Elephas maximus indicus: one gene and its partners. The protein of the gene in region 1 interacts with the protein of each later gene in a biochemical or structural test. Links are inferred from orthologs where the notes say so. Each region holds a gene or a part of one and is shown on either strand. Other genes may lie near its edges. The genes, in order: general transcription factor II-I, HDAC3, USF1 and BTK.

Region 1 (6,874 bases):
AAGCTTTGATGGTGTGCAGAGTTGATAGGAAAAAAAAATATTCTTGAATTTGGGGGAAAAAACCGTTCACAATATCCCCCCAAACCCAAAAATCCCCAGCTCTGTGAAATCGCTATGGTAGTTTTGGGTGCACAAGCTACTTTGGTCAGTGCTGAGAGAGCTTTCTCAGGTGTGAAATACATCTTGTGAGACAACAGGGATAGGTTAAATGAAACAATATTAAAGGACAGTCTTTTAATTAGGTGTAATTATGGTTTCTGGCAATGATGTTTTCTACATAAACTTTATAAATTAAAACTATATTTGTAATAAAATGTTATTTTATGTAATACGACAATTCTTCAGCTTAGAACTAAGGTGAATATTAAAATATTAAATGTTTTATTGCGGTTGGCCTTTATGTACTGACGTATTAGGTACAATAACACCCTTTGTATTTCTAGTATTTTGTGAGTAAATTCTTAACCAATTTTAGATGACTATTAAAAGTGTTAGTAATGGAATGTTGCCTATATCAAAACTAGGTGTATTTTCATTGTATTATATAATATCAAGTTGAGAATTTCCTACTAAAACAGTATTTTGAATCTTCAATTTAATATTTTTACAGTACATTAGGAGTGTTTCTATCACATAACTATTTTTAAAGTGACTGCTAGAGTGACTTTTAGGGTATTTTAAAAATTAGAATTAAAAATATTTTACATCGTACTTTTTCTCTGTACTGAACAATTTTGACAGTGATTAAGACTGAACGTCACTGTCACTTTAAATTATTAATGAATGTACAGAAACAGTTTAACATTGCTACTTTCATATTTGGTAAAATATGAAAAAGAGGAAGACCCTCAAGGAGATGAACTGACAGAATGACTGCAACAATGGGCTCAAACACAGCAAGGATTGTGAGGATGGCACAGGACCCGACACTCTTTCTTTCTGTTGTACACAGCGTTGCTATAGTTGAAAGTCATTCGATGGCACCTACCAACAATAATTTTCAAAACTAATTACGAAGTCTTGCGATGAACGAAATTCAGGTTAATATAAAAATACAATATTATTTGCAATGTTAAAGAATGAATTTGGTAACCATATGTCTTCAGATGAAACTGCTCCAGGTTAGCCATCTGCAGAACATAAATTGGAGATCGGAGAGTAAAAGAAACAGGTTTGAACCGGTTCGAATCGATGGAAGAAGTGAAACCTGAACAGAATTTTTTAAATTGTGGTGAACCAGAATGGAACTCAAATGGAAGAAATCACAGTTGGAAATCCTGCTTAGGTTAGCTGGATCCACACCACCTGGGGACTCGATAAAAATGCAAATCCTCTTGGGCCCACCCCAGACCTACCGAATGGGATCTCTCCCGCAACGGGTGCTCACCAAGCCCCCCAGGGAAGGTTTATGGGAGCTGAAACCTCTGCCCGTGTGCAAATCCTGGCGTGAAGTTTTACTGGCTGCGTAAAGGAGGGTAAATTCCGCCAACTTCTCGAGGCTTATTTGTCCTCTATAAAATGGGAATTACGGGTTATAAAAACTAAGAGCAATACCTTTGAGGTGCTTTAAGGCCCACGCCTGTGACATAAGGAACACCCCAACGTCAGCCATGGTTACTGTTACCCGCGACGCCCGCTGGCGGCTGCAGGCTGGAAGGGGCGCGGAGGGAGGCCGGGAACCGGAGAAGGACCCAGACGGCCCCTCCAGGAGGCCAACACTGACAGGGAACCCGACGGGCGACACGGCCGCTGCGGAGGCGGGCGACACGGCCGCCGAGGAGGCACAACGCAGCTGACCGGGACGTTAAGCAGAAAGAAGCCCGACCAGACCGGACGAGAGAAGGCTGTGAAGAGGCGACTGCACGCCAGGAGACATGTCCGTGGCCCGGGGCGCCCAGATCCCAGTCAGGCGGGCAGAGGCCAAGCGGAGGCGCGGACCAGAAGCAAACCTGCTCCGCATGAGACAAGGGCGGTCATCCCCAACCGCTGGTCGCGGCCGCGGACAAGCCTCCTCGGCGACGTCGTCCCCTGTGTGTCCCCAGCGCCCGGCACCGGGGCCCAGCGGGCCGAGGACGCCGTGGTCCGCAGCCCGGTGCCTACGGGCGGCCAGGAGAAGGGGACTGAGGACCCGACGCCTCGGCGCCCGGCCGCCAAGTGTCCGGCAGGCCCGTGACGGAGATGCCCGCCTCGTCAGGAGGAAACGCGGTTAGAAGCGGGCAGCGGGCGAAGAGCACGCAGGGGGTTCAAACACAAACCCGGCGCCTTTTCTCTGCTCCTCCCGCTGCCCGTCTGCGCGCCGGACCGGGTCTGCCCCCGGCCCCGAGGCCGCGTCTTCCTTCCGGCCATTGTGTTTACTTCCCTCAGCGGCACCCCGGCCGCCCCACCTGGGCGCGAGCAGGGCGGCGACGCCAGCCCGCCGGCCGCCGTTACCAGGCAGCGCGCGGCTCCGCCCCCAGCGGCCGGCCGGCCAATCGGGCGCGTCCGCTGCCGCGGCGCAGGAGCCCCAGATACCACGCCGAGCGCGACCCCACCGGCTCGGGCCTGGCACCGAGCGCGCGCCCCCAGCGCCCGGCCGGCCAATCACCGCGGCGGGGCGTGCGCAGCCCTCAGGCTCGCCCGCTCGCTCGCTCCCTCGCGCGCGGACCTCGCTCACGCGTGCGGCCCCCGCCCCCGCGCGCCCCTCCCCCGCGCGTGCAACCGTCGTCCCCCGCGACCGCGGCCGCTCCCCACCCCCACGCCCCGTCCCGCCGGCCGCCCGCTCCGGAGGGGGCAGGGCCGGGCCCGCAGGCTGTCCGCCGGCGGGCGACCGCTGTTCGCAGCCCGCCGCCCGTGCAGAGCCCGAGGGAGGCACCCAATAAAGGCCCTGCTCGTAATGGCGCCCGGGACGGGGGCGGGGGACGGAGATCAGCCCAGAGGGACTCACCCGAGTGCAGCCGCCTCCAGGCAGCGCCGGGGCCGGGAATGCCGAAGGGAAGCGGGTGTGGGCCGCGCGCGAACTGCGGCCGCCGCAGAGCAGCCTTGGGCGGAGGCGAGCTGCTGAGAGGGCGAGGGGCCCTTGCGTCTCGGCCGAGCTCCTGTCACCGCCGCATGGCCGCCCGGGCAGGGCCTCGCTCAGCGCCTTGATCCGCTCACGGGGGACAGAGGGAGCGGCCGGGGGGACCGCGGCAGGCAGGCGATCACGGCCAGAGAGCGCGTGCGGGGAAACGGGGGGGCGATCGGTGGCCCCTTTTCTCTGCTCTCTGAGCTTCACTCACCCTCCTCCTCCTCCTTTTTTTTTTTCCTTTTTTTTTGTTCCTCGAAGGCGCGCTGCGCGTGCGCACCGGCAGCGCTGCGCAGCGGGAGTTGTAGTTTCTTCTTCGCCCCTAGTCGTGCGGCGGTGGGTGCGGCGGACTACAACTCCCAGAAAGCCGCGCGCCGGCAAGCCCGAGGAGCAGGCGAACGCAGCGCCCGGCCCTCTCCCGCAAGGACTGCCAATGGAGGCGCGGGTGGTGGGAGCCGAAGATGGCTGCACCTGGGGCCTGCCTGGCCGCACGGGTGGGGGAGGGGAGCGGGGTGAGGGAGCGAACGTCGGGGCCCCGGGCGGCTCCCGCCTCCTCGTCGCCGCGCTCCAGCCGGGCCGCCGCGCGTCTCCGACCTACTCCTGGCGCCCTGCAGGCCGAGGGGCCGGAACCGGCCCTGGCTGGGCGCTCCAGGCTGGCCTGCGGCCCTCCGAGTTCGGCCAAGGGAGCTCCTCCGCCCTGCACCACCCTCCGGGACACAAAGGACTCGTGTTAGCGTTCCCCAAGCTTGTTTCAAAAGCCACCCAGAGCGACTGTGGCCGCGGCTTGGGAGCGGCGAGGGGAGGAGACCTGTGTTCTTCACCCCCGCCGCGGCTTGCCCTGCTCGGTCCCTCGCGCACCATTTAGAAGGAAGGTCGAGAGGTAAAAGCCGTGGAGTGGGGACAGAAAACCGAGTTCCCGTTGGGCTTGGGTCAGCCGCTCAGCAATTGAACGCAAAGCCCTCCCCCCAAGTTGTATTTTGCGTCTCGGCGTTTCGTTAGGTCCTTGAATTTGGTAAAGGGGGAGACGCGACTGTTCACCGAAGTTACACTTAAAACGCCATAGTCCGGCGGGTTTAGGTGTTTCCGGCAGAAAACCCAGTGGCTGTGTGACCCCCTCCCCGCCCCCGGCTAGCGACCACCAGGCTGGCCCCGGCCTTTGTCGCTCGCGAGGGAACTTGCCGAGCAGCCAGCCCTTTCAGGTGACCCGGAGGCCTTTGCCTGAGTTTGCGTTCAGAGACTGGAGTTCCCCATCTGCTTCGTGTGTAGACCGCACCCGTGAAGCCCCATCTACAGGTCCCTTGTTGGATTTCTTTAAAAGTAGGTGAAAATTTGAAAGAACGCTGCGAGGCGATCAGATTACGGAAGCCTTCTAGAGTTTAAGGATTTCTCCCACAGCCTGTTAACAGCCATTTGTCCTCGACTAATTGGACTGTGACTCCCCTTGGCCTAGGCTCTCCAAAGTGTTCATTGGGCTTACTGAGAACAGCAGCACTCCTTCTGCCCTTGTATTTCATTGACATTTTAGAATATTAAATTCCGTAATCCTAATTCCACGTGCGGTTGACGTGTACTTAGGAACAAACGTAACTCGTGAGAAGTCTACGACTCGGCTGGTAAGAGCAACCTCCTACTTGGCCCCAACATTCAGCTGCTGTGGGCATCAGTATGTTTTACCCGGAAACAGAGGGATGGCTTTATTGGAAATCTGTGAGATTGAGGTCTGTGAAAGGACTAGTCACTGGACACTGGAGTCTCGGAGCCATGGAGGAGCGTTTGGGAGAGTATTAGGAAGTGAATTAGTCAGGCAAGAGTTCATTTAGTGAGGATTACTCTTGTCATCATTAAAAACTTGTCTGGACAGGGATCGGACTGGACTATAAGAGAAAATTATGCTGGTGAGGAGTGAGCTTATTAGCTCAAGTAGACACATGAGACTATGCGGGCAGCTCCTGTCTGGAGGCGAAATGAGAAGGCCGGGGGGGACAGGAGCTGGCTGAGTGGACACAGGGAATACAGGGTGGAGAGGAGGAGTGTGCTGTCTCATTAGGGGGAGAGGAACTAGGAGTACACAGCAAGGTGTATGTAAGTTTTTGTATGAGAGACTGACTTGATTTGTAAATTGACTTAAAGCACAATTTTAAAAGTATTGTCAGGAGAAGAAAGACTTACTGGAGGCTGGAGGAACACCCTAGACTGTTACCCTGGGATACTCTTCAAACCTTGACCCTAAACTATCCCCTGAAGGCATTTTTAAACGAGCAAACAACAACGAAAAAGTTTAGCTCAAAAAATGTCATTCTTAAGTACCTACTGAACTTTAAAAAAAAAAAAATTTATGTAGTCAGTAACCCTGAAGCATAGATGACAAGTTTAGGGGACAGTGAAACAACTAGGGAAGAAATAACGAGAATGTAGACACAACGTGAAGAACGTAACCAATATCACTGAAAAACATGTAGAAATTATTTTGATGTGTATATTGTCACCAAAAAAATTTTTTTTAATTGTCAGAATTATGCTGAATGAAATAAGTCAGTCACAAAAGGACAAATACTGTATGATTCCACTTACATGAACTATCTAGAATAGGCACATTCATTTATGATTACCAGGGAGTGGAAAAGGGGGACTCATTGCCTAGGGGACACTGAGCTGCTGTTAAAAAAATGGAAAAATCTGGAGAAGACTGTTGATAATTGAACAACATGATAAACAATGTCACTGAATTGTAAACGTGGAGAAGGTTGAAATGGCAAATGTTTTGTTACATATGTATTTATCACAATTAAAAACAAAAAAAAAAACGTGTCTGAGAGCGATTCCCTTTCTTTTCTATGAATTTGTTTAATGGTTCAGAGTGGAACCATTCTTTGAGGTTGAAGCAGTTCCTGAAACTCAACTTTGGCTGGATTCGAATTGTCTCTAGTCAGAAAGCTGTCCCTTTTGGGATGGTCAACAGTGTGATTTGAACAGCATGTAGAGCCTTTTTCTCTTAAGCTTACAGCCATTGATGGGTGTAACCCTTAAATTCATGTCTTCCAGTCATAAATGTCATGCTTTTCCAGGCTTTACTAAAGTCTTGGCACATGACCAGGCAGTTATTGAATATTCGTTGCTGCTATTCCTTGGCCAGTTTCTCACGTCAGCAGCAAGGATGCTAACGTTAATTGTGGCCCTCGTCATAGGCACTTTGGATGCCATCTCTGCACAGCCAGGTTTTTTCCAACATTAGAATAAATTGCTATTTTTTGGGTTGAGCAACTGATGAAAATAAATTGTTAATCTGTATTTAGGAATGGTGTAGTACGGAAAATTTGTTGTTTGTTTCTAGGTCCCGGTAAGTCCTAACTCCTAGCGACAGAACGAAACATTGCCCAGTCCTGTGCCATCCTCACAATCCTTGTTATGCTTGAGCCCGTTCTTGAAGCCACTTTGTCCATCTGACCTTTAAACACTAGAAACACACTCTATAAAGTGCATGTACCAAGATACACCAAACTGAGGCTTCAGGAAGAGCAGACTCGCCACTCTTGCCTCGAGCCAGGGACAGATTACCCAGTAAGCAAGGTAAACACAGTTTACTTGTGCTTACTCACTAATCTGTAACCAATTTCACAAACCCATGTGAAATCGGTCACTACAGATTAGTAAATAAGCAGAAGTAAGCCCGTGTTTACCTTGCTTACTGGGTAATCCCTCTCTGTCAGGGACTATAAATTTGAAAAGAGGCTTTGATTCTGTAGGAAGGTACTGTGGGCTTGAGAGAGACAGATGCCAGCCATACCTAGAAGCAGAATCTTTGATGTGGTGAAAAAATGTGAAATTGTTCACTAC
Region 2 (7,625 bases), on another chromosome or scaffold:
GACCCTATAGAATGGAATAGAACTGGCCCATTGGGTTCCCAAGGCTGTAATCTTTACAGAACCAGACTGCCACATCTTTCTCCCTCAGAACGGCTGGTGGGTTTGAACCACAGGCAGCCGAGTGCTTAACCACTGCACCACGAGGGCCCCTCTCTACTTAATCCAAAAAACCCGTTGCCGTCGAGTCGATTCCGACTCATAGCAACCCTATAAGACAGAGTAGAACTGCCCCATAGTGTTTTCAAGGAGCGCCTGGTGGATTCGAACCACTGACCTCTGGTTACAGCCACAGCTCTTAACCACTATGCCACCAGGGTTTGCATGATAGGGCTGCTTAAAAGGTCAGGCCACGCCTGTCTCTTTTAACCTCAATTCAGATCACTCTCCTCTTCATATTCAGCACTCGGCCTTTTTTCTGTCCCTCAAATGAGTCATACTCTATCCTACCAGAGACCATTAACACATATAGTCCCTGCTGCCCACCATATGCTCTCTCCCCCTCCAGCCACCCAACCCCCTTTCACCTAATCACTTCCTGCTCTTTCTGCAGATGTCAGTTCAATCCTCTCTTTACTCCCTCTAGGAAGTCTTCCCTGACCAGCCTCCTCCTAAACTAGATTATTCTCCCAACTATACGCTTTCACAGTCTGTCATGTACCCCTTCCTGCATAGGACTTGGCACAACCACAATATTAAATTTATGTATAGATTAGATGATTGCCTTCCCACTAGACTGCAAGCTCCACGATTGTTTATTCCCACCTCCTAGCTTTTTTCATTTTTGTTCATCATTGTATGCCCAGCACTTAGCACCAGATCTGGCCTATAGCAAATGATCAATAACTATTTGCTGAATAAACAAATGAGAAAGTGGTGATTCACTGATAAGTAAGCCCTCTTCTTAGCTTTCCAGTGCTGTTGCCACAAGATCTCGTGCAAGAATTCCCCCTTTTGAAGTGCCGAGCATCAAAATTCCCAGTCCTCTCCTCACCAGTCATCACCCACATTGAAGGCATTAAGGCTCTTGGTGAAGCCTTGCATATTGGTGGGGCTGACTCTCTGCAGGAAGTCGATGTAGTCCTCGGAGTGGAAGCGGCACATGTCGTGCTGGGAAGCCTGGTATGGCTTGAAAACCTCGGGATGGAGACACAAGATGAACCCAGGCAGGGTCATGCCCACTCACGGGGCTGAGACCACTCACACTGAACCCAACCCTGGCAATTGTTCAAGTCCGCACGCAGCAGTCACCACACCACACGCAACGGACATCACATCACAACACACCAATCCTTGTTATTCTGTGAGGCAAAGGTCACTCTGCGCCTGAAGAAAACAGGCTCTGATGAGCCAAGTGGGTTATTATGATCGAGCCCCCTGACCGGGCTTCCTGCCTCATTCCCACCTCCAGCCCAGGGCTGCTGGGCCCTCCCTCTAGAGCTCTAACATCTTCCAGGTAGAAAGAAGAGACGAGGAGAAGGGATGGGAAATGAGGGTAAACCCCACAGTCAGGTACAGTGGTCCAGCCCCTCCCCCACCTTTAAGGCCACAGCACTACCCACATACTAAGATGCTAGGGATGAAGACATCAGGTCTTCAAACCAGCCCCACCCCACCATACCCCTAAGCCAAGGGCCGGTCCACCTGAGGCCAAGGGGTGGCTGACCTGAAGTGAAAAAGTAACCCCCGTTAAGTCAGAGGACACCATCCTCTACACTCTGGAGAAGGAGGGAGGTTACTCCTGGTGTCTTCTATCCAGCTATCCCCTCCCTTCTCCCATTCTAGAGTCAAAGACCACCTTCTAATTAAAACCCAAAGGACTAAACCAGAGATTTAGTATCTTTTGGGTACCTCACATGCCCCTTTGGAAACTGGGCAAGAACAGTGCAGTTTTTCTCTCTCTAGAAAATGCACACAGGTATATATAGGCAAATGATTTCAGGGAATTCATTGACTCGTGCATTAACATCACTTCAGTCTTTTCTATGACCAATCCACTTGACTGTGCCTCAGCACAAGCAGCGGACACTCATTCATATTGTTGGCCAATTCCCCTCACAACGCATAAGGGTTAGGCCTGTTATACCGCCAAATCACAACTATAAATTACAAGCTGGGGGCAGCGTGTGTGATGTCTGGGAGATGAAGGTTTGAGTAGCAGCGTTCTAGGTTAGAAAGGAGATACCCAGGATGTCTCCTGTCTCCCTCCATACACGCATACACATTTACACCCAAGGCTGGTGGGCCCTCCCTCGAGAGCTCTAACATCTTCCAGAAAGAAACAGGACATGAGGAGAAAAGGTGGGAAATGAGGGTAAACCCCACAGTCAGGTACAGTGGTCCAGCCCCTCCCCCACCCTTAAGGCCACAGCACTACCCACACACTAAGACGCTAAGGATGAAAACATCAGGTCTTCAACCCAGCCCCACCCCACCATACCCCTAGGTCAAGGGCTGGTCCACTTGGGGCCAAAGGGTGGCTGACCTTAAGTGAAAAAAGTAACTCCCGTTAAGTCAGAGAACACCATCCTCAACACGTTGGAGGGAGGTTTCTCCTCGTGCCTTCTGTCCAGCTACACCGCCCCCCACCCCCCCGCTCCTGTTTTCGTATGCAGATCGCACCTGGTGCATTCAGTCCAGCCCACCTAGCCCTAAGACCACAGCTCGCCCCACCCCTAACACATGGCAGAGGCAGCGGGACTTACGATCATCTTCTTATAGAGACCGTAGTGCAGAACCAGACTATGGGTCAATGCCAGGCGATGAGGCTTCATAGGATGTCCAGCCCCTGGGCAATGGGGGTGGGGAGAAGAGAGTTCGTCAGTGTCCACCCCCGGAGTTGCAGCCCCTGCCTCGAAACCTCTGCGCCCTGAAACCCCTCGCACACAACCCTGATCCCTCACCATAATGGAAGTTGCCCACGTCCGGGTCGTAGAAATAGGCCACGGTCTTGGCCATGGCGACCGCGGGACCAGGCCCCGGCCTCCGCCGCCCGCCCGGCCGCCAGCCCCGCCCCCGGCCGTGCGTGCTGCGTATGTACGCAGCCCGCCTCTGCGGAACTGGGAGGCCTAGGCCCCGCCTCCGTGAGACCACGCCCAGGTCACACCCCCTGCAAGACTCCGCCCCTCCCCCGGCTGGCCAGGCCCCTGGGGGTTGGGTGTAAGCGTCCCGGCTCGAGTGCTGGACAAGTAACCTCGGTCTCAGCGTGGGAGGGTCATTTCCTTCCGGGCGGGGGCCAAATCTTCGTGAAGCCGAGCCATTAGTCCAGCCTTCTGCCCCAGAGGAGAGTGCGGCCGTGGTCTCCGCGCCCGCCCCGCTAGTACGCTCTGGAGAACCAGCCACGCCGCCGCGCTCGGGTGCAGAAAACCGGTTTCTGCCTGCCCGCTGGAGAGATCCCTGGCTATCCGCCCGGCTAGGGCATCTGCGGACAGGAGCCTCTCCAGGCGTGCGGGATAGACCAGAGGGGAGCACACCCGCCGGGCCGGGCCGCCTGTCCTGACCCGGACTCAGACGGCGCCGCGCTCCCCCCGGAGAGGTGCCAGCCAGTCACGCGCGCACCACACTTGCGCTCACACACGCGCGCACAGCTCAAGCTCTCCGCTCCGCACACCTGCGCTCCGCCCCCCGGTCCCGGGCCGGCGGCGGGCGAAGGCATTTGGAAACCCAGGGGTTGCTGCGGCGGCGCCTCCCACCCCCCTTCCTTCCCAGGGCCGGAGTTGTCTGAAGCCTGCTGCGGCTCCCAGCCAGCCCTCATCCCTCTCCATCCTTCCCTCCCCCCGCCTGCCGCTGCACCGGTAGCCGCAGCCGCAGCCCGGAGCCGGTGAGGCGGCGAAGGGGGAGGGGAAGGAAACAAGGGATGAGCGCCGGGAGGGCGTCGGGGGCCCCGAGCAGGACTAGGACGCCCCTGGAGCCGAAACCCGAGCCGAAGCCAGAACCGAACCACCGGTACTGGGTGGGCCAGGTGCTCAGGGTGGAAGGAATCGTAAAAGGGAGGGTGCGGGAAGGAAGGCAGGGGAGGGGGCTGCAGAGGCCGGGCCCAGGCCGGCGCGGAGCGGGTGCGAACGCTGACTCAGGCGCGACTCCTGCGCCCGCCGCCTGAGAATTCCGTCCCGTCTTGCGCTGCAGTGTCCTTGGGAGGGACGGAAGAGCAGGGACGAGCTGGAAAGGGGAAAGCTCCGGGCGTCGGGGAAGCGGGACCAGGGTCGTGGAAGAAGACTTGCGCAGCCGCTGTCTGGCCCCGCGTCCCGGCAGCTCTTGGCGCACCAGCACCCCTGGCCCGGACAGCTCCCTGGTTGGGTAGGGGGTGGGACCGGATCTCTGAGCCTTGCCAGTTTGGAATCTGAGGCATTCCTACCCCTCCCCAACATCCCCAGCTGCAGCCCCCTCCCCCCAGGAGGCGCCCTGGCCCGCGCTCGCCCCCCAGGGCCTCATGTCGGAACCACAGCCTGACCTGGAGCCTCCCCAGCATGAGCTGTACATGCTCTTCCTGCTTGTGCTGGTCTTCTTCCTCATGGGCCTCGTAGGCTTCATGATCTGCCACGTGCTCAAGAAGAAGGGCTACCGCTGCCGCACATCGAGGGGCTCGGAGCCTGACGACGCCCAGCTCCAGTCCCGTGAGTCAGGAGCCGGGAACCCTGGCTCAGCCATCTTTCTCTCTTAAACGCTTCTCCCCACATCTTTTTCCGCTTTCCCTGGCCAACAGACCTAGGTCCGATCCCAGTCAAGCCTGCAGGAGGCCTAGTGATGCTTCCTTGAGTCAGCAAGTGGGGTGAAACCACCCTAAAGGCAAGACTAGAGGAGGCAACATGGGGAGGAAGGTCTTTGGCTCCCATTGACCTCCCCATCTTCCCTGGCCTGGCTCCTGAAATGCTAAAGTCCAGCATGAGAGCAAATAGATTAAGGGATATGTTTTGAGGAGTAAGCCACAGGAACCACCAGGTAATGCCCCCCCCCCAAAGTGATTCTTTTCTCTCTTCCTTGCCAACCTCTTTCATCCTTCAGCTGAGGAGGATGACATGAATGAGGACACAGTAGAGAGGATTGTTCGATGCATCATCCAAAATGAAGGTAGGTGTAGGCTGACTCCTTCCCCACCCCCTTCTCTTGCCCTGACCTCCACTAACTCCATCTTTTCTTTCTCCCCTCAGCCAATGCTGAGGCCTTGAAGGAGATGCTGGGGGACAGTGAAGGAGAAGGGACAGTGCAGCTGTCCAGGTGAGTTGCCTGGAAATAAGGTCCAGCATGGCTTTGGTTGCCTTGGAAAGTACTCTCCTCCAGCACAATTCTTTCCCAGTCTCCTTGCATGTTTGTGGGGGCATGGAAGTAGATGGCAAGGTTGGCTCACCTATAGGTAAAAAGTTTTGTAGAAATCCAGGGTCCTTCAAACCATCTCTCCCACCTGAACATCGGCAAGCCTAACACTCACCCTTAATGCCACTCCTTTGGGTTAACCATTATTCTCTTTCTGGCAAACAGTCCCGAGAGGGAGAATGCATGGTCACTGACATCTTAATACTGAGTTTATTACACAAAGACAAGAAAAGAATGTTGGGGTCTTGGGGAAGTGGGATATCTGGGGGTTTAACGAGCATGCTGAAAGAACAGGAGGCAACAGAACAGGAAGGGAGATGGGAATGTCACCCCTGTTCTCCTCCTTCCTGTCCAGCGTGGATGCCACCTCCAGCCTGCAGGATGGAGCCCCCTCCCACCATCACACAGTGCATCTGGGCTCTGCAGCCCCTTGCATCCATTGCAGCCGCAGCAAGAGGCCCCCACTTGTCCGTCAGGGCCGCTCCAAGGAAGGAAAGAGCCGACCCCGGCCTGGAGAGACCACCGTGTTCTCTGTGGGCAGGTGGGGCCACAGTGTTCCAGGGAAAGGGAGGTAGAGGTGGGGGCCACAGTGATCAGGCATCTAACTCAAAAGGTGGGCCTGGTGGGACTCCATGCAGGATCTCCAAAGGGCCCTCCCTGGCTCTTTTCTCCTGGACTGGGCGCTGCAGCAGGGTCAGGCTGCACAATATACCCCAAAGTCTGAGAAGGCCTCCCCTGCCCAGGCCAGAGGGAAGTGGCCATCACACCCAGGATGTCCCTGATTGGAGAGGAGGGCAAGAAGCCTCTCAGTTGTGGTCCTAAGCTCCAGTGTTCCCTCCCCTCCCAGGTTTCGGGTGACACACATTGAGAAACGCCATGGGCTGCATGAGCATCGTGATGGCTCCCCAACAGACAGGAGCTGGGGCTCTAGTGGGGGACAGGACCCAGGGGGCAGTCAGGGATCTGGGGGAGGACAGCCCAGGGCAGGGATGCCTGCCATGGAGAGACTGCCCCCTAACAGGCCACAGTCCCCAGCCCTAGCCAGCCCCCCAGTGCAGAATGGAGGACTCAGGGACAGTAGCATAGTACCTTGTGCACTTGAGGGGAACCCTGGAGCCTCTGCAGAGCTGGTGCTGGGGGCCGGAGGCAGGGGCCCAAGTCCGGGGCTGCCCAGTCAAGAGGCAAAAGCAACCAAACTGGACATCTCAGATCACCAGGTATGAAGACATGGCCAGGGCTTCAGTGGGATGTGGCAGACTGAGCTTTTGTTGTCCCCTACTCTGGGGACTATTTTTCCACTGCTGACCCCTCCCTTTTCTCTCAGGTGTCCCCACCACGGGGAGCAGGGGGTATGTGAGGTGAGTCTGCCTGGGACCCAGGGCAGTGAATCTTATCCTCCTACCCCCCACTCAAGCCCGTCAGCTCCCTGAACCCCCAGGTGAACTGCAGGCTTTAGCCTTTGCTACAAATTTTTGGTTTGGTGGTGGGGAGTGGGCATGTGCTTCAGGGGGTAGATTCAGGAACCCGGAAGTGAAGGGGTCCTGTGTCACCAGGAAAAAACTGGGACAGACCTTAAATAGAAGGCAACATTGTTACCCTCCCTCTCTTCCAAGCCTCATTCTTCGCTGCTGCTGAATGGACTACCAGCTGGCAGAGTCCGGGGTGGGTGGACATGAAGCCCCTCCCCTCCACTGGACAGCACTGCCCCCAGCTGAGGGACCAGCCTTACTTCCACCTGGAGTTTCATGGTCTCAAGCTGGGGGACCTCAGAAGTAGCCCTCAATACACCCGTCAGTCTCTTCCCATTCCCTTGCCTGCCAACAGGCCACCTGACCTGCCTTCCTAACACCTCACTCCATATGCTAGAGCGTGGCAGCTGGGAGCAGGCCCCTGCCTTTGGTGGGCCCTTAAAGCAATAGCACCTTAGGCCCCCTGCCCTCTTGGCGCAAGAGGCCAAGGCTTGGCTTGGGCTTCCTGCCCTTTATTCACTGTCAATAAATCCGCTCAGACCATTACAGCTGCTTTTGCATACTGGCTCCAGCTCCTTCTGATTCGCAAGGCCTGACTCTGTCCCTGCCCCCAGCCCAAGTGGCCCTGGTACCCAGGATGGGGTGGGGCACAGACCCAGGGTGGAGACAAACATGGGCGGAGCCATTCAAGATTTGAGGAGGGTAGGTTCCAGCCCCAGAGATTTCAGGAGTGGGATAGAAGGGGTTCCAGCCTTGGAGATGGGGTGGTGGTGGAAAAGAAAGGGGTAGTTCCAATCCTAGAGATTGCAGGAGAGGAACGGAGGAAAAGGAGTGGGCTCTAGCCCCAGA
Region 3 (6,884 bases), on another chromosome or scaffold:
ACAGATTGAGCCATTCCTCCTCCTTTCCCTTACAGAAGTTTCAGCATAGCCCCTGGCCCACATTAATTTCTACTCTAAACCTCTCCATCCCCCAAACAGTCCACATCTTCACCTCATTCTCCAAGCCAAGTCTCCCAAGACATGTTCAATTACCTCCCTCAATCCCAACCCCAGGTCACACCTGCAGCAACCTGGCCCCCTCCCTTACCTGGCCCCCATTCTCAGTTCGGAAGACGTACTTGACGTTGGGGTCAGGGAAGGTGGCAGCTGACTGGATGCTGGCAATAGCCACGCTGGTTGGGTCCTCCCCAGTTGCCACTGCACCTGAATTAAAAAAGCAAAGGAAGGGCCTGTGAGCTGCTGCCTTTCTCCCTCTGTTCCACTGGTACGTCATTCATAGGAGGAGGGTGCACAGGAGATAGGCCGTCGGAGAGACCAGGAAGGGCTCTTGGTTCTATTTCTGTCACTCACCTTCCTGAATCTGCACTGTCCCCTCTTCCGTTTCAGCTGTCTTCTGCTGCCTATTTGTGAGGAAGGGACAAAAGGAAGAATAAGGAAAGAAATGAATGAGAAGCTCACTGACCCAGTAACATATGGCTCCCGAACTCAGTGGCATTCGCACCAGATGCGAGATTAGACTGGAATAACAACAGCTAATATTGACTGAGTGTTTACTATGGGCACAGGCACTGAGCTAGGCACTGAACATGGACTATCTTATCTAATACTAAGAACAGCCCTATAAGTATCACCACTTCCATTTTACAGATGGAGAAACCAAGTCACACAGCTAATAAGCGATGGCACTGGGACTTGAATCCAGATCTGCCTGACTCCAGAGCCAGTGCTCTTATCCAGTCTGCCATTCTCCTAGGCCACCCATCTTCTGTCCCAGATCCTACCTCTTCTTCACTTACCCCTTCATCTCTCTGTGAGGGGGAACATCCGAGGAACTGGTCCTTCTCTGGAGGTCTTTGTATGTCTTGCCTCACAGCCCTGTGTGTTAAATCCTGGTAGAAATCAGGGAGTTTGCAGTGAGTCTAGGAAACTCAACAGCCTCCTGGTTCTAGAACTAGGCTCCATAAAGATACAGCCAGGAACATAACCCAATCGTCTGCAGGGGACAGTAAGCCTCCCCCATTCTTGATGCTGAGGACTGGGCTACAATGGTTGAAAAAGCCACCGTACAAATAGTGTTCCTCACCCCTCCACGACAACTCCAACTCCTGGTGGAGAGGGGATTACTGGACTGGAAGACTGAGAAACATCCTGTACCTGGATGGGTTATTACTAAAGCTATTATGACCTGCCATGACCGCAGCTTCATAGGGATTAGACCCTGTTAGACTATCACTATCAAAAAACACAGGGCTATGGACACTGATGCTTCTTTCAACTTCTTAGATGTATACTTTACACCAAGAGATCTCTATTCTCAACTCAATGGCATGAAGCCCATTGCCATTGGAAAACCATCCCTAACCACAAAGACCAGACTTGGCCCTTAAGGCCCATTCTATTGACAGAGCTCTTGTTCTGGGGTGTTCAGATACATGTCTTCTGTTAGAGACCCTAAAGCACAAATGCAGCATCTTCAAGACCTCTCTATTTTATTCTCCAAGGCTTCCTGTGAAACAACACATTTGCTAACATGTTGCCATGACAACTCCAAATTTCAACTGAGGCTCAGCAAGAAGGAAAAAAGCTGGAAGCTCAAGGTTCTGAAGGAGAAGAAACAATGGGGGAGGAATCCATTCATAAGGTGCCATCCTTAGGACCCTGACACCCAGACAGAGGGCAGGAAAAACAACGGGCTGAGCAGACCAATGCCTCCAGAAAAAAACAGCCGCACAGCGCAAGGCAAAAAGATAATCCGAACAGGAAACAAACAAGATTTTTGTAAACTCTCTACCTTTAAGGTTTCCCCAAATCTAAGGAAAATCTTCAGCGGTTACACTTTGGAAAGCCAGTGTCTAAGGAAAGTGTCAATAGGTCTTTGAAAAAAAGGAACTGAAAGTGAAAGCGACAGAGGAAGTAATACTGCAAGGAGATCCCAGTCCCTAAGTGGAAATAACACTAGTACCTAGGGACCACCTACCTCTGTCCTCAAACCTGAGGAGGAGGTGCCCCTCCCGAGGCTTGCTGCGCTGACTGCAGGAGGCGGCAATGAAAGAGAGGGCAGGGCACCAGGAAAGGAGGCAACTCTATCATCCACAGCTGTCAGCTAGGGGCAGCCTCTGAGGGCACCAGCAACGGGGTCAGGCTGCTGATTCAAATCTCAGTGGGACATCAGGAAGCATTTCCTGAGCACTAGGCATACGCGACGCGGCAAAGGAAAAGGATGTTGTGGCGTGCACGCTCAGACAAGGAGCGACCAGCAAGATCCCTCGCTAAGTCCGGACACAAAGGGAAAAAAGGCAAGTCGTCAAAGAAGTCAGGCGCAGAGACCTTGCCTGGGAATGCGGCATCTTCCCGGAGGCCCACCAGCCAGGAGGCGCTTTACAGAGCTGAGCGCACGACAAGCGCGAGCCCCGGGGCCCGTGCCGCCAGCCCGCGCCCCGGCTGCTCCGCAGAGGAGGCAGGGAAGGGCGCCAGGGGCTCGGCAGGCCCCGCGGTCCCCGCCCGGACTCGGCCGCTCGGCGCCCCCCGCTACGGCCCGCGGCCGCGCATCGCAGGACGGGGCGCGCGCCGTTCGGGGGCGGAGAGCGAGCTCGGCCCACAAAGGGGGGTAGGAGATAAAGAGCCAGGCGAGCCCCCTCCCCCAAAACAAAGGCTTCCTACCCAAGAGTTCCCTAACCCAGAAAACTAAAACCAAACCAGAGCTGCCCTGCCTTGCCCGTCCGCCCAGTGTCCCGACTTCTGTCTGGTCCTGCACTCACCGGGCAAGGCCGCCTCAGGCGCTGCTTTTCCCCGACAGTGTTTTCCCCCCTCCGGACCCGGGTATCTCCATGGGCAGCCGCTCATGCGCACTCCCAGCCTGCAGCCATGTTGATGAGGGGCGGAAGTGTCTCTCTCGACCCGCCCAGCCGACTCAGCCCCTTGATCCGCCCCACTTCCGTTCGTTCCCCCTGGGTGAGGGCTGAGGGATGCGGGGGTGTTTGGAGTGTCTCTGGACCGAGAAGGTGCCATTTCCTGGGATCTTGTCGGAATGACACTGAAGTCGTAACCGTTTTCAGCAAGAATGGGAGAAAGACGACTAATTTGTGCTACCATCTTTGTGCTGGGCGGTGCATTTTTTAGTCTCAGGAAAAGGTAGTGAGGGAGCCAATTTAGGTCAGAGAGGGAAGTCCGGCCGAGACGCCATCTTTAACAAGGCTCATTTGGGAGGCCATCTTGGATCAGGGCATCTGTTTGAAGTGTTTCTTAACGGGAAGATTAAGACAGCTAACTAGGCATACTTCTTTGTATTAGCGTCAGCCGTCCTTTACCTAAAGACCCAAGGCTTCAGTTTCTTTGAAAGGAATTTTTATTCCCATTCCAACTAGCCAGGACCTAACCCTTAATTGATTTGGGACCAGACAAACCCAGATCTCATACCCACTTTTGCCACTTCTTACCTCTGAGATCTTGGGCAACTTAATTAAGCTTTAGTTACCTCATCTGTAAAGAGTAGACACCAGTGTCAACCTTCTGAACTGTTATGTGGCTTAAATAAAGTCAAGGGCATAGATGCTATGCACGTAGAACACCTAGCTCAGTTACTGGCACAGAATGAGCATTATGTAAATATAATTTCTCTTCCCCTTTTCCTGACCACCGTGAACTCAGCTCTAGTTTCTAGCCACAGGTCTCCATGACAACATCTGAGGAAGAACAAACAGCAAAGAAAAAAAGACATTTGCCCAAACATGTGAAGAGATGATACCACTCACGGCTTTAGTAAGAATAATGAGACTTCACACTATTTACATGTAAAAATACAACTTTTATTCTGAGACAGCCCCCACTTACTAGAGTGGGATCTGTGGTTCAGCTGGTCTGGAAAAGCAGCCCCAGGACCTGAGTGGCCCCATTCCCCTTCCCTAAGGTAACAAAACCAAACCCACTGCCATCGAGTTAATTCCAATTCACAGTAACCCTAGACGACAGAGTAGAACTGCCCCATAGAGTTTCCAAGGCTGTAAATCTTAACCGAAGCAGAGGAAGTTATCCCAAAGGGAAAAGGAGAGGCCAGAGAGATCTATACAGGACCCCTTCTTCTTTAAGCTGACTGGAGACAGCAGGTGGGTGAGCTGGAAAGATGGTCAGTCCTCCCAACAAACACTGAAGCCTTCAAAGAGCTTCCTGAATAAGTTACTCCTAATCTGAAGCTCAGACAGGAAGTATTCAGGGGTCCAGGAACAAAACAGGGGTGGGCAACACAAAATGTTTGTGTGTGATAGGCTCTGACCTGGCCCTGTCCTCCCCACCTCACCTTAAGCTTTCATGAAGGTTCACAGCCTCAGAGGAGAGTAGGAACTTGGCTGGAATTCCCCCTCCATTCTTCACTTTGAAAAACCTCTAAGTTTTCTGCCCACATCTGTTCCTTTTGGCGCAGTGATTGAGCGTTCAGCTGCTAACCAAAAGGTTGGCAGTTCAAATCCACCAGCCACTCCTTGAAAACGCTATGGGGCAGTTCTACTCTGTCCTATAGGGTCGCTATGAGTCGGAATCGACTCAATGGCACCGGCTATGTTCCCTTTAGCCAATAACCCCACTCCCTAGGAACCAGATCTTGGTAACTTTCTTAGGAATCTCCTAAGGGATAAGTGCTTTCTGTCTTAGACAAGCTCAGGTAAACGAACTAACCTGTGGCCTCCCACAGTCAAAAAGAGAAGCAAGAGGCCAAAGCCTGTAGAGTTAGGCTCTACAGCTCGTCAGGGACCCTGGAGATTCAAGACAGCTTACTGGTCCCCTTTGCCCAGGTCCTAATCACAGTTCCTCACCTTTCCCAAGGTTACCCTGTGTTTCAAATGCGTACGATCGGCGCTGGGGGGGCTTAAGGGGGTCAGGGGGCTGGAGTTCTCTGGGGGGCAGACTAAGCCGACTCCGGGATTCAGATCCTTCTGTGCCTTCAGGTGGGTGCTCCAGGCAGCTAAGGGGCCGGTGAGAATAGGCAGGAAGCATGCTACCGTAGGTGGTTCTGGGGATGAGGCTGTAGTCCCCACCTCCAGTACAGGTCTGGGTCCGCCGAACTCCCTGAGCCTCAGTCCTCTGGCGGTCCCGGGCCAAAGCCACAGCAGCATCAAAGGAAAGACTGCCCCCATTCCTCCAGGAGGAGCGGGAGGCTCGGGACCCCCAAGCCCTTTCCCCAGGAGTCCCATCAAGCCGGCCAGGCCTCGGACATGGGTTTGCAGGTGCCACATGGATCTTGCCACACAGTGCACTGGGCATCTTGGCAAACTGTGGTTTGGGGGGCACCACAGGCACAGAGCGGACCTGTTGGACCTGAACCAGGGTGGAAGCCAGGCGCATGCCCACACCACCAGCTAAGCCAGGGGGACAGGGGCACAGATCACAGCCCTCTGGACTAAGCTGCCCCTCAGGCTCCATCTCCTCTGGCAGAGGTGGCTGTGGGGCTGCCTGTTCCTCCTCAAAGGACTGGGCATTGCCCCCTTTGGCACTATCAATGCTCAGGGACTCTCCACCTGACCCTTCAGGGAGAGAGCCTTCTTCAAAATGGTCACCTCCAGCCCTCTGGTCTCCCTCAGCCCCTCCATCCCCTCTCTCCCATTCCTTGCTGACCTCCGCTGTTCCTCCAGCTGCTGCTTCTAGGATTCTGATGTCTTCACCATCTCCTTGGTCTTCTCTTGCCTCTTGGCCCCCATCCCCACTCTGTCCTTTGATATCATCTTCCCTGCCTCCCTCAGCCTCTTGTTTATGTACAACTTCCCAGCTCTCCTCAGCAACTTGGTGTTCCTGGGCCCCATACTCTGGGTCTTTTCCAGGTTCTACCTGGGCCTTGTCTCCTCCTTCAGCCTCTTCTTCTCTCTCAGTCTCTCTTTCCTTCTCGTCTTTACTCTGCTCTTCTCCTGATTCGTCCACACCCTTAGCCTCCTCCATATTCTCAGCTTCATTCTGGCTTTTGGACTTGGTCTCTGTCTCTTCCCCACTCCCTTCTCTCAAACTAGCCATCATATCCTGGTCTCCCTCAGTCTCCACTCCTTCCTCACCTGACTCTCCAACCTCTACTTTGGTCTCTGGACTCCCCTCAGCCTCCCTCATGTCGCATCTATTTCCAGGCTCAGACTCCTTGTTCTCCCCAACTTCCAAGCATGCTTGCTCTCCTGAAGCCTGCCCTGAAGCCTGTCTTCTACACCCTGCTGCCTCTGCCTCCAGACTCCCTAGACCTTCCCAGGTCGGTGGTTTGGGCTCCAGAAGGGGACTTAGGTCGTCATAGGCACTCAGGAAGACTTCCTCCCCACTTTCCTCCTCTGCTTCAGGCCTGGGGCCAGCAAAGTCCAGGGAACAGCAGCTGGGAGCTAGGACAAACTGCGCCTCATCCAGAGAGAGGTCATCCAAGGGTGGCTCCACAGAGAACTCCTCCACCTGTAGGCATAGCATTGTGGCTCAGGACCAGGTGGCCCTGCTCACCCTGAGACCCCATACCACCCCCAAACCCAGCACAGCTCCTTCTTACCTGAGGCTCAACTCCCAGGAGCTCCTCTAGGTAGCCCATCCCAGGGTCGTCCTCCCCAGGGGAGAAAGCTGCTCCTGCTGCTCCTGCCTTGGCCACATCCCCATCCTCCACCCCCACCCACTCAGGCTCTGAGTCGCTTGAGTCCTCTAGGAAGGAGAAGGAATCTTGCACCTCCTGGGACAAGGAGTCCTCCAGAGCAGGGGCCGTGTCCACTGGGCCTGAGTCAGCCAAGGAATCAGGAGCTGCACTTGCCTCCAACTTCTTA
Region 4 (7,331 bases), on another chromosome or scaffold:
CTGATTATTTCCCCATGTTATTGGGATTTCTCTATAAGCATCATTGAAGTGTCTGGATGGCACAAATGGTTTGCACTCAGCTACTAACTGAAAGGTTGACAGTTTGAACCCACCCAGAAGCACAGTAGAAGAAAGGCCTGGCAATCTGCTTCTGTAAAGATTACAGCCAAGAAAACCCTGCGGAGCTCAGTTCTACTCTGTAACACATGGCGTTGCCATGAGTCGATGGCAACGGGTTTGGTCGTATTTTATCCTTTTATAAGCATCATTTACTGAGTCAAAAAAGTACGTGTATTTTTTCATTTTGTTACATATTGTCAAAATGGTTTCCTGGAACATTGTACCAATTTCCACAACAAATAGCAGTTTTTGAGAGTCCCCTTACCCCTGCACTCTCAACTCCTTTATGCTCCATGTCTAACCAATTCATTTCCCTATTTTTGTTCACACTTCAGTGTTTTGCAGACTAATCTATTATTTCCATTGAGGCAGTGATCTTGGACTCCAGTACGTTCCAACCTCTAACTTGTCTCAAATTTACTTCTCTTGGCTCTCTAAAATTTTCTTCTGGGGTGAGCTAATAAAATGCAGTTTATTTTCATTTCAGGGAGGCAGGCCAGTAAGATGAGCTTCTCATTGAGGTTCAAATAACCAACAGTAGCCTAACAGCCATCTAGTGATGGCTTTCAGAGAGCCAGCCTAAACCCGGCATATTAAGGTTTCCAGCTTCCCAAAGCTCTCTGAACACACTCAGCCACTGCACTTAAATCTCCATAGAAACTGAAAGTCACATGTGGCCCAATTGTTTCAGGGTCCTCAGAGGAGTTCTCTTTCCCCCTCCCTTGGCTTCATTTGCATAACCAAGCAGCTTCAGGGGAAAATAGGTCAAGGTTTCTTCTGTAGCTTCTTGTTGAGCACTGACTCACTGAAAATTCTAGCTCACTCTTATTCCCAGGAGTTGCCAATCAGATCTGAGTATCATTGGGGAAAAGTGGCAGGTACCTGAGGACTTTTTGGAGAACATCCATACCTGGGTTTTCATAAGCCATATCTTCCCCTTATGAATCAACTCGACAGCTGCAGGTTTGGTTTTTGGATCTTACCCTTATACCTAAATCACTTCCTGGTATGGGTCTAGTCCACTGAAAGGAAACTCTTATAGGAAACTTGCCAGAATGGAAATAATAAATCATAGTGATGGTAATTTAAGATTGTCATCAATATCCTAGAAGTGGGTAGAAAGTTACACCAGTTCTCACCATGAAGAATTTACAAAGGATTCTAAACCAAAACATCAATAGCTATAAGCAACATGAGTTTGAACTTTAAAATAAGCAGCTAGTTTAGTGTGATGATAAAAGGGGTCAGAATAGAGCATATAGGGCTAGCCCTAAGGGGTGCCGTTTCTGGCGGCTTTAGGTTTCCATGAGCATTTGCATTTTGTGGCTTATTTGGAGGGTGACATTGTTTTATCAAATAACTGAAGCTTCGGAGAGGGCATAGCACCCTTGCTTCAGGGGCTTGGCATGCAAAATGAGTCAAGGAGCAGAACTAATACACAACTAAGAGCACAGAGGACAGCCTCTGAGCTGTGCAGACTCCCAACATCAGGATGTTGCTGCTGCCCTGCCTCTGGAAACGCACAGCACCGACTAGAGACTTCCAGCTTGGAGAATTGGTGGCTGAGAAATCGCACTGGGATTCCAGCTGGAGGTCCAGCAACTCATCCAAGAACGTTTTCAACAGGGTCAGCAATCTCTTATATTCTAAATGTCATTTCATTCGCTCTAAGCAGAGCCCTCTGAGGACACTGGCAGATCTCAGGTGGAATAAAAATAATAGCCAACACTGAGAGATAGCACTTGCTATGTACTAGGTCCTATTTTAACTGCTTTACATATATTAACACTTTGAATCCCCGCAACAACCCTATGAGGAAGGTACTAGGCAAATAGGGTAAAGGGAAAAGAGTAGGGGAAGGAAAGGGCAAGAAAAATCCAATGCATCATTTATTAAGTGCTGACTTTGTGCCAGGGGATATAGGAATGAACAAAATACAGGAGGGTATAAAAAAGAGGGGAGATAGGTAGAGAAAGGAGGAGGAAGAGAAGAAGGTGGAAGATGAGGAGGGAAATAATGAAGACCAGAGAAAAGAAGGCCATGCACATGGTAGGCAGTAGTAATAGGAGAAAGCTTCACCACGACCTCAGGGTTTGGCCACACAGTGTCTGGGCTGAGGCTAAGGCTGCCTTCTTCTGGCCAAGTCTCTTACCCCCTATTACCACGAGGTTGGCTCAGCCTCCACACAGTCCCTCCAACAAGCCAGCTCCGGTCCCAGGCCCCGGTTTGGCCTGATGCAGCTCTACGTAGTTAGCTTTTCCCCCGCTCACGAAGGTCAACTGCCTATTGTGGCATGTGAACTTTGACAGTTTTCTCAGAGAATCTGCCTCATAAAACTTCTTCTAAGGGCTTCGCTGACACAAATCTACATTTTGAGTCTTCAAGCACTATTTGACCAAAGGGCTTATTTTTATCCCACTGGCACCTGCGGTGTTATTTTTCCGCCAAGTTTTGCAGAGGCGCCCCTTTCCAACACTGGATACCTGTTCAGACGGTCATCTCTTGTTACCTTTTTCTCTTTGTGCCCCTCCCCACCATATCCCTCCTTAAAAAAGACCCCTAAAGCCCCTTCTGATCACCAGAAGGGACTGCCAAGACCTTGTGCTGAAGATACTACCCCCCAGCCCAGCAGCCTCCTCCGCCAGCCGACTCTATGGCACCAGCCCTGCTTTCTCTTTGGCCTTCAAGGGCCCCCAGAAAGGTACTTGCTACTGCTGCTGCTTCCCAGCCCCTGCCATGCCCCAGACCCACCTCAGTCCTGACTTAAAGCAGGTAGCTTCCCAGATGCATTGAGATGCCGGGACTTTGAAGGTGGGACTCGATCTCAGAAGACACTGGCCCTGGAGACATATTCTTACAGTCCAGAGAGGAAGGACAGTCTGAGCAAACCCCACCCTTTCACAGCCACTCAGTTCCCTTTTTTTGTTTCCTGACTTAAACCAATGTCTTTTTTTTCTTCTTAGCAGCATGGTATCTGGTTCCCTGCTGCTGTCCCTGTTCCACCCCCCCCCCCCCCCCGCAGCCGTCTCCGCCCTTCATTTGCTTGGAAACTCCAACGTGATTATCATGCTTCCTGCTCTGAAAGAACCCTCCTTAACATGACTGTGGCCATTGAGACTCTAGAAGGGGCTGGGTGGAGCAGATGGGTGGGCAGGCCGAGCTCCCCCAAGGTAAAGGGACGACATGCCGGAAGGACTGTGGGGATGGTTAGCACAGGGAGTGGAGACATATAGGAAAGAGGAGAACTGCACAGACTGGCTGAGACAGGAGGAAGGGAATGCCGAGGAAGAGTGTCTTTTGAGGCTCATGTCCTCTGAGGTGGAGGAGACTTGGGGCCACACAGGTAGAGTTGATGGTGAAGGATGGAGAGTGCTCACACAGGGACCCCAAAGTACAGAGCCTGACAGAGGTGGAGACAAGACTTCCCCCTGCTGAGTCATTTTCTAAGAAAGCATTTTTTTTCTATAGATAAAAGAGTCAGAATGTAAGCCCTAACAAGGGCTTGTGCCCTGTGCCCGTTCCCATTTCCTGTGAATGTTGATTTTCTCCATTTAAGATTTGGCCTCAGGAATTAACTCTTAATTTACACTTTGCCCTTTAATCCTATGAAGTGATAAACCAGACTGGGTGCACAACTTGAAGCCTAGATGTTTTCTAAACGGCCTCCTAGCCTGTTTCAACTGCAATAGTCTCCCCTAGGATTCTCCTTGGAAATACAGCCACTATTGGCTGCAGATAGTGATGGCAGCAGAGGCCCTGGTGACTGACCTGCTTTCCTACCTTGACACATCTGGTACTCTCATATCTACTTGTTCCTAAGCACTGTACACTAATGTAGAAATAGGAGTCCCTTGGGTGGCGCAAATGGTTAAGTGCTCAGCTACTAACCAAAGTCGGCAGTTCAAATCCACCCTGAGGTGCCTCAGAAGAAAGGGGCCTCGTGGCCTACTTCCAAAAAGTCACAGCCATTGAAAACCCTATGGAGCACAGTTCTACTCTGACATACATGGGGGTGCCATGAGTCAGAATTGACTTGACAGCAACTAGTTTACTGGTTAAGCACCTGTTATGGATTGACTTGTGTCCCCCAAAATATACGTATGTTATAAACTTTATGCTTATAATCCCATTTGGGAAATGAGTTTTCTTTGTTATGTTAATAAGGAAGTTTTAGTGTAGGGTGTGTCTTAAATCAATCTCTTTTGAGATATAAGAAGAGCAGATTAACCAAGGAAACAAGCAAGCACAGATGGGGGAAGATAGATGCCATGCCACATGAAAATCACCAAGGAGCCAAGGAACAGAAGCTGAAAAGAGATAAGGACCTTCCCCCAGGGCCCTAGAGCTAACACAGACAGAAAGCCTTTCCCTAGAGCCAGCGCCCTGAATTTGGACTTCTAGCCTACTAAACTGTGAGAAAATAAATTTCTGTTTGTTAAAGACACCCACTTGTGGTATTTCTGTTATAGCAGCACTAGATGACTAAGACAGCACCATACCCTAATGTAGAAACAGATCCCAGATCCCATTATAAGCCTGGCAGAATTTGTAAATCAATATTGTTGTTAGTTGCCATGGAGTTAGTCCCTGACACAATGAAGTGAAATGTTGCCTGGGCCCTCACCATCCACTTGCTACATTGCAGATCAGACCATTGTGATCCATAGGGTTTTCGTTGAATACACTTTGAAGTAGATCACCATGCCTTTCTTCCTAGTTCATCTTAGTCTGGAAACGCCATTGAAACCTTTTTTTTTAGCATCATACACTCAAGCCTCCAGAGACAGTCAGGTGGTGCCTGCACTTGAGGTGCATTGTCTGGGAATCGAACTGAGGTCTGAATAGAAAGTGAGAATTCTAGTACTACACCCTTTAAATCAATAGGGCTTTAAAAAATGGCATTTGTAGGATGTTAGAGTAGTTAATTCACACATCTGCACAAAGTAGATAAGAAACCCTGGTGGTGTAGTGGTTAAGCATTATGGCTGCTAACCTAGAGGTTGGCAGTTCAAAGCCGCCAGCTACTCCTTGGAAACTCTATGGGGCAGTTCTACTCTGTCCTGTAGGGTCGCTATGAATCAGAATCAACTTGACAGCAGTGGGGTTTTTTTTGGTTTTGGTACAAGTGTTGCATGATCTCCCTATTTTATTGATAACTTATATCCTTTCACTAGTCACCCCTGAACAGCTGCTCCAGTTGCCAGCCTGTGAACTGGCCAAAGAAATTCGTCCTCCTTCCCTCCCTTTTTCTTTAGTCAGATGCTGCTTACTGTCACATGCCCTGTCCCTTCTCAAGGTCCATTTTTGGGTGGGGACTGGGAGTTGATAGATATAAGATGGGAGATCTAGACAAGGGAGTGGAGGACAGGAGAAAGGGGAATGTAAATTTCAGGCTGTTCCTCGCCTTCTGCCCCACAGCTGCTCCCCTAACACACTTGTCTGTACTGACAGAACAACGACTGTACCCAAATAATGCAAATGAATGGCCTAGTGTCACCTCAAAAGATTCCCAATGTAATATAAGGTTCTATTCTTGGTGTTGCCCTGTTCAACATTTCTATTGATGACCTTTAGGAAGGTATAGAAGATACAGAAATGAAGATATAGAAAGTAGCCTAGCTAATTTGTCCATTGTGCAGAGCCGTGTGAGCTAGACTGGATGGTGGAATCAGAATAATTAGTTTTCAAAATGATCTTCATCACCTGTAGTGATAAGCCAAATCCAGTAAAATGTATCTTACCAGGGCTAAGGGTTATGTCCCATAATTGGGCCCAACATTAAACCTCAAAGATTCCAGGTGAAAGTGGGGTATCAGTAACACTTGTGAATATGGCTCAGGGGTTTTTGCTACTAGTAATCAAGTGAAATGTCAAGCCAGTGACGTGGCTGCCAGAAAGCCAAGGTGACAATAGGCTTCACTTGGAGACGTAAAATACGTACACAGAAAAGTCAATGTGCTACTTACTGCATGGTCAAGGCACATTTAGAATTATGTGTTCAGTTTTGAGAGCCTCATCTTGTTTTGGTTGTTAGGTGCCGTCTAGTCGGTTCCGACTCACAGCGACCCTATGTACAACAGAATGAAACACTGCCCAGTCCTGCGCCATCCTCACAATAGTTGCTATGTTTGAGCCTATTGATGCAGCCTCTGTGTCAATCCATCTCGTTGAGGGTCTTCCTCTTTTTCACTGACCCTCTACTTTACCAAGCATGATACCCTTCTCCAGGGACTGGGGTCTCCCGATAACATATTCAAAGTATGTGAGACGAAGTCTCGCCATCCTGGCTTCTAAGTAGCATTCTGGCTGTACTTCTTCCGAGACAGACTTGTTCTTTCTTCTGACAGTCTGTGGTATATTCAGTATTCTTCACCAACACCATAATTCAAAGGAATCAAGTCTTCTTCAGTCTTCCTTATTCATTATCAAGCTTTCCCATGCGTGTCAAACAGTTGAAAATGTCAGTAAACTATTAGCTGTTATAACTATTACTGTATAATGGTAAAGGGACCCATACTCTGAAGTCAGATTACCTGGGTTTGTATCCTGGATCCATTAAATACTGTCGACATTGGGCAAATTGTTGAACATCCTACAGCCTCAATTTCCATATGGGTAAATAATAATACCACCTACCTCCTAGAACTACTGTGAGAATTATATAATAATCCATTTTAAATGGTTAGTACCCGGCCTGGCATATACCAAAGAACAAAACAAAACAAAAAAACAACAACCCCATTGCCATGTAGTTGGTTTCGACTCATAGTGACCCTATTTGACAAAATAGAACTGCCCCATAGGTTTCCAAGGAGCAGCTGGTGGATTCGAACTGCCGACCTTTTGGTGAGCAGCTGTCTCTCTTAACCACTGCACCACCAGGGCTCCGCCTGGCTTACAGTAAGAACTTAATTCAAAATAACCCTGCTGTCTTTCTTTGTGGAGCCCTGGTGGGTAGTGGTTAAGAGTTCCGCTGCTAACTGAAAGGTCAGCAGTTGGAATTTACCAGCTGCTCCTTAGGGTCGCTATGAGTTGGAATCCACTGGAAGGCAATAGGTCTTTTTTTTTTTTTTTTTTTGTCTTTCGCTACTAGACTTTTGAAACCTAGTATATGTCTTCTGCCAGGTATTCAGGGAAAGGAAGAGCTGCTGGCTACTTTTCATCTCTTGGCCTCATTATTGCTGTTGCAGGAGCTGAACAATTTCATTGTC

The links.
Region 2: the proteins of general transcription factor II-I (region 1) and HDAC3 form a complex in vitro, tested with the Homo sapiens proteins (2 studies listed by BioGRID). The link is inferred for Elephas maximus indicus from reciprocal best matches to the Homo sapiens genes GTF2I and HDAC3.
Region 3: the proteins of general transcription factor II-I (region 1) and USF1 form a complex in vitro, tested with the Homo sapiens proteins (2 studies listed by BioGRID). The link is inferred for Elephas maximus indicus from reciprocal best matches to the Homo sapiens genes GTF2I and USF1.
Region 4: the proteins of general transcription factor II-I (region 1) and BTK form a complex in vitro, tested with the Homo sapiens proteins (4 studies listed by BioGRID and IntAct, with this or other methods). The link is inferred for Elephas maximus indicus from reciprocal best matches to the Homo sapiens genes GTF2I and BTK.

The regions. Positions count from the first base shown.
Region 1 is NC_064830.1:109,094,131-109,101,004, forward strand, and holds the start of general transcription factor II-I, read right to left. Parts: upstream 3,004-6,874; 5' UTR 2,924-3,003; intron 1-2,923. UniProt on the Homo sapiens protein: Interacts with the basal transcription machinery by coordinating the formation of a multiprotein complex at the C-FOS promoter, and linking specific signal responsive activator complexes.
Region 2 is NC_064820.1:154,963,402-154,971,026, forward strand, and holds the start of HDAC3 (histone deacetylase 3), read right to left. Parts: upstream 3,007-7,625; 5' UTR 2,956-3,006; coding exon 2,901-2,955; intron 2,786-2,900; coding exon 2,703-2,785; intron 1,135-2,702; coding exon 992-1,134; intron 1-991. Other genes in the region: RELL2 (RELT-like protein 2), read left to right, coding at 4,427-4,610, 4,999-5,064, 5,145-5,211, 5,663-5,848, 6,155-6,524, 6,632-6,664. UniProt on the Homo sapiens protein: Histone deacetylase that catalyzes the deacetylation of lysine residues on the N-terminal part of the core histones (H2A, H2B, H3 and H4), and some other non-histone substrates.
Region 3 is NC_064821.1:199,856,448-199,863,331, forward strand, and holds the start of USF1 (upstream stimulatory factor 1), read right to left. Parts: upstream 3,008-6,884; 5' UTR 2,880-3,007; intron 1,011-2,879; 5' UTR 926-1,010; coding exon 918-925; intron 522-917; coding exon 472-521; intron 327-471; exon of another isoform or gene 325-326; coding exon 209-324; intron 1-208. Other genes in the region: ARHGAP30 (rho GTPase-activating protein 30), read right to left, coding at 4,912-6,528, 6,620-6,884.
Region 4 is NC_064846.1:56,724,225-56,731,555, reverse strand, and holds the start of BTK (tyrosine-protein kinase BTK), read right to left. Parts: upstream 3,016-7,331; 5' UTR 2,872-3,015; intron 1-2,871. UniProt on the Homo sapiens protein: Non-receptor tyrosine kinase indispensable for B lymphocyte development, differentiation and signaling. Binding of antigen to the B-cell antigen receptor (BCR) triggers signaling that ultimately leads to B-cell activation.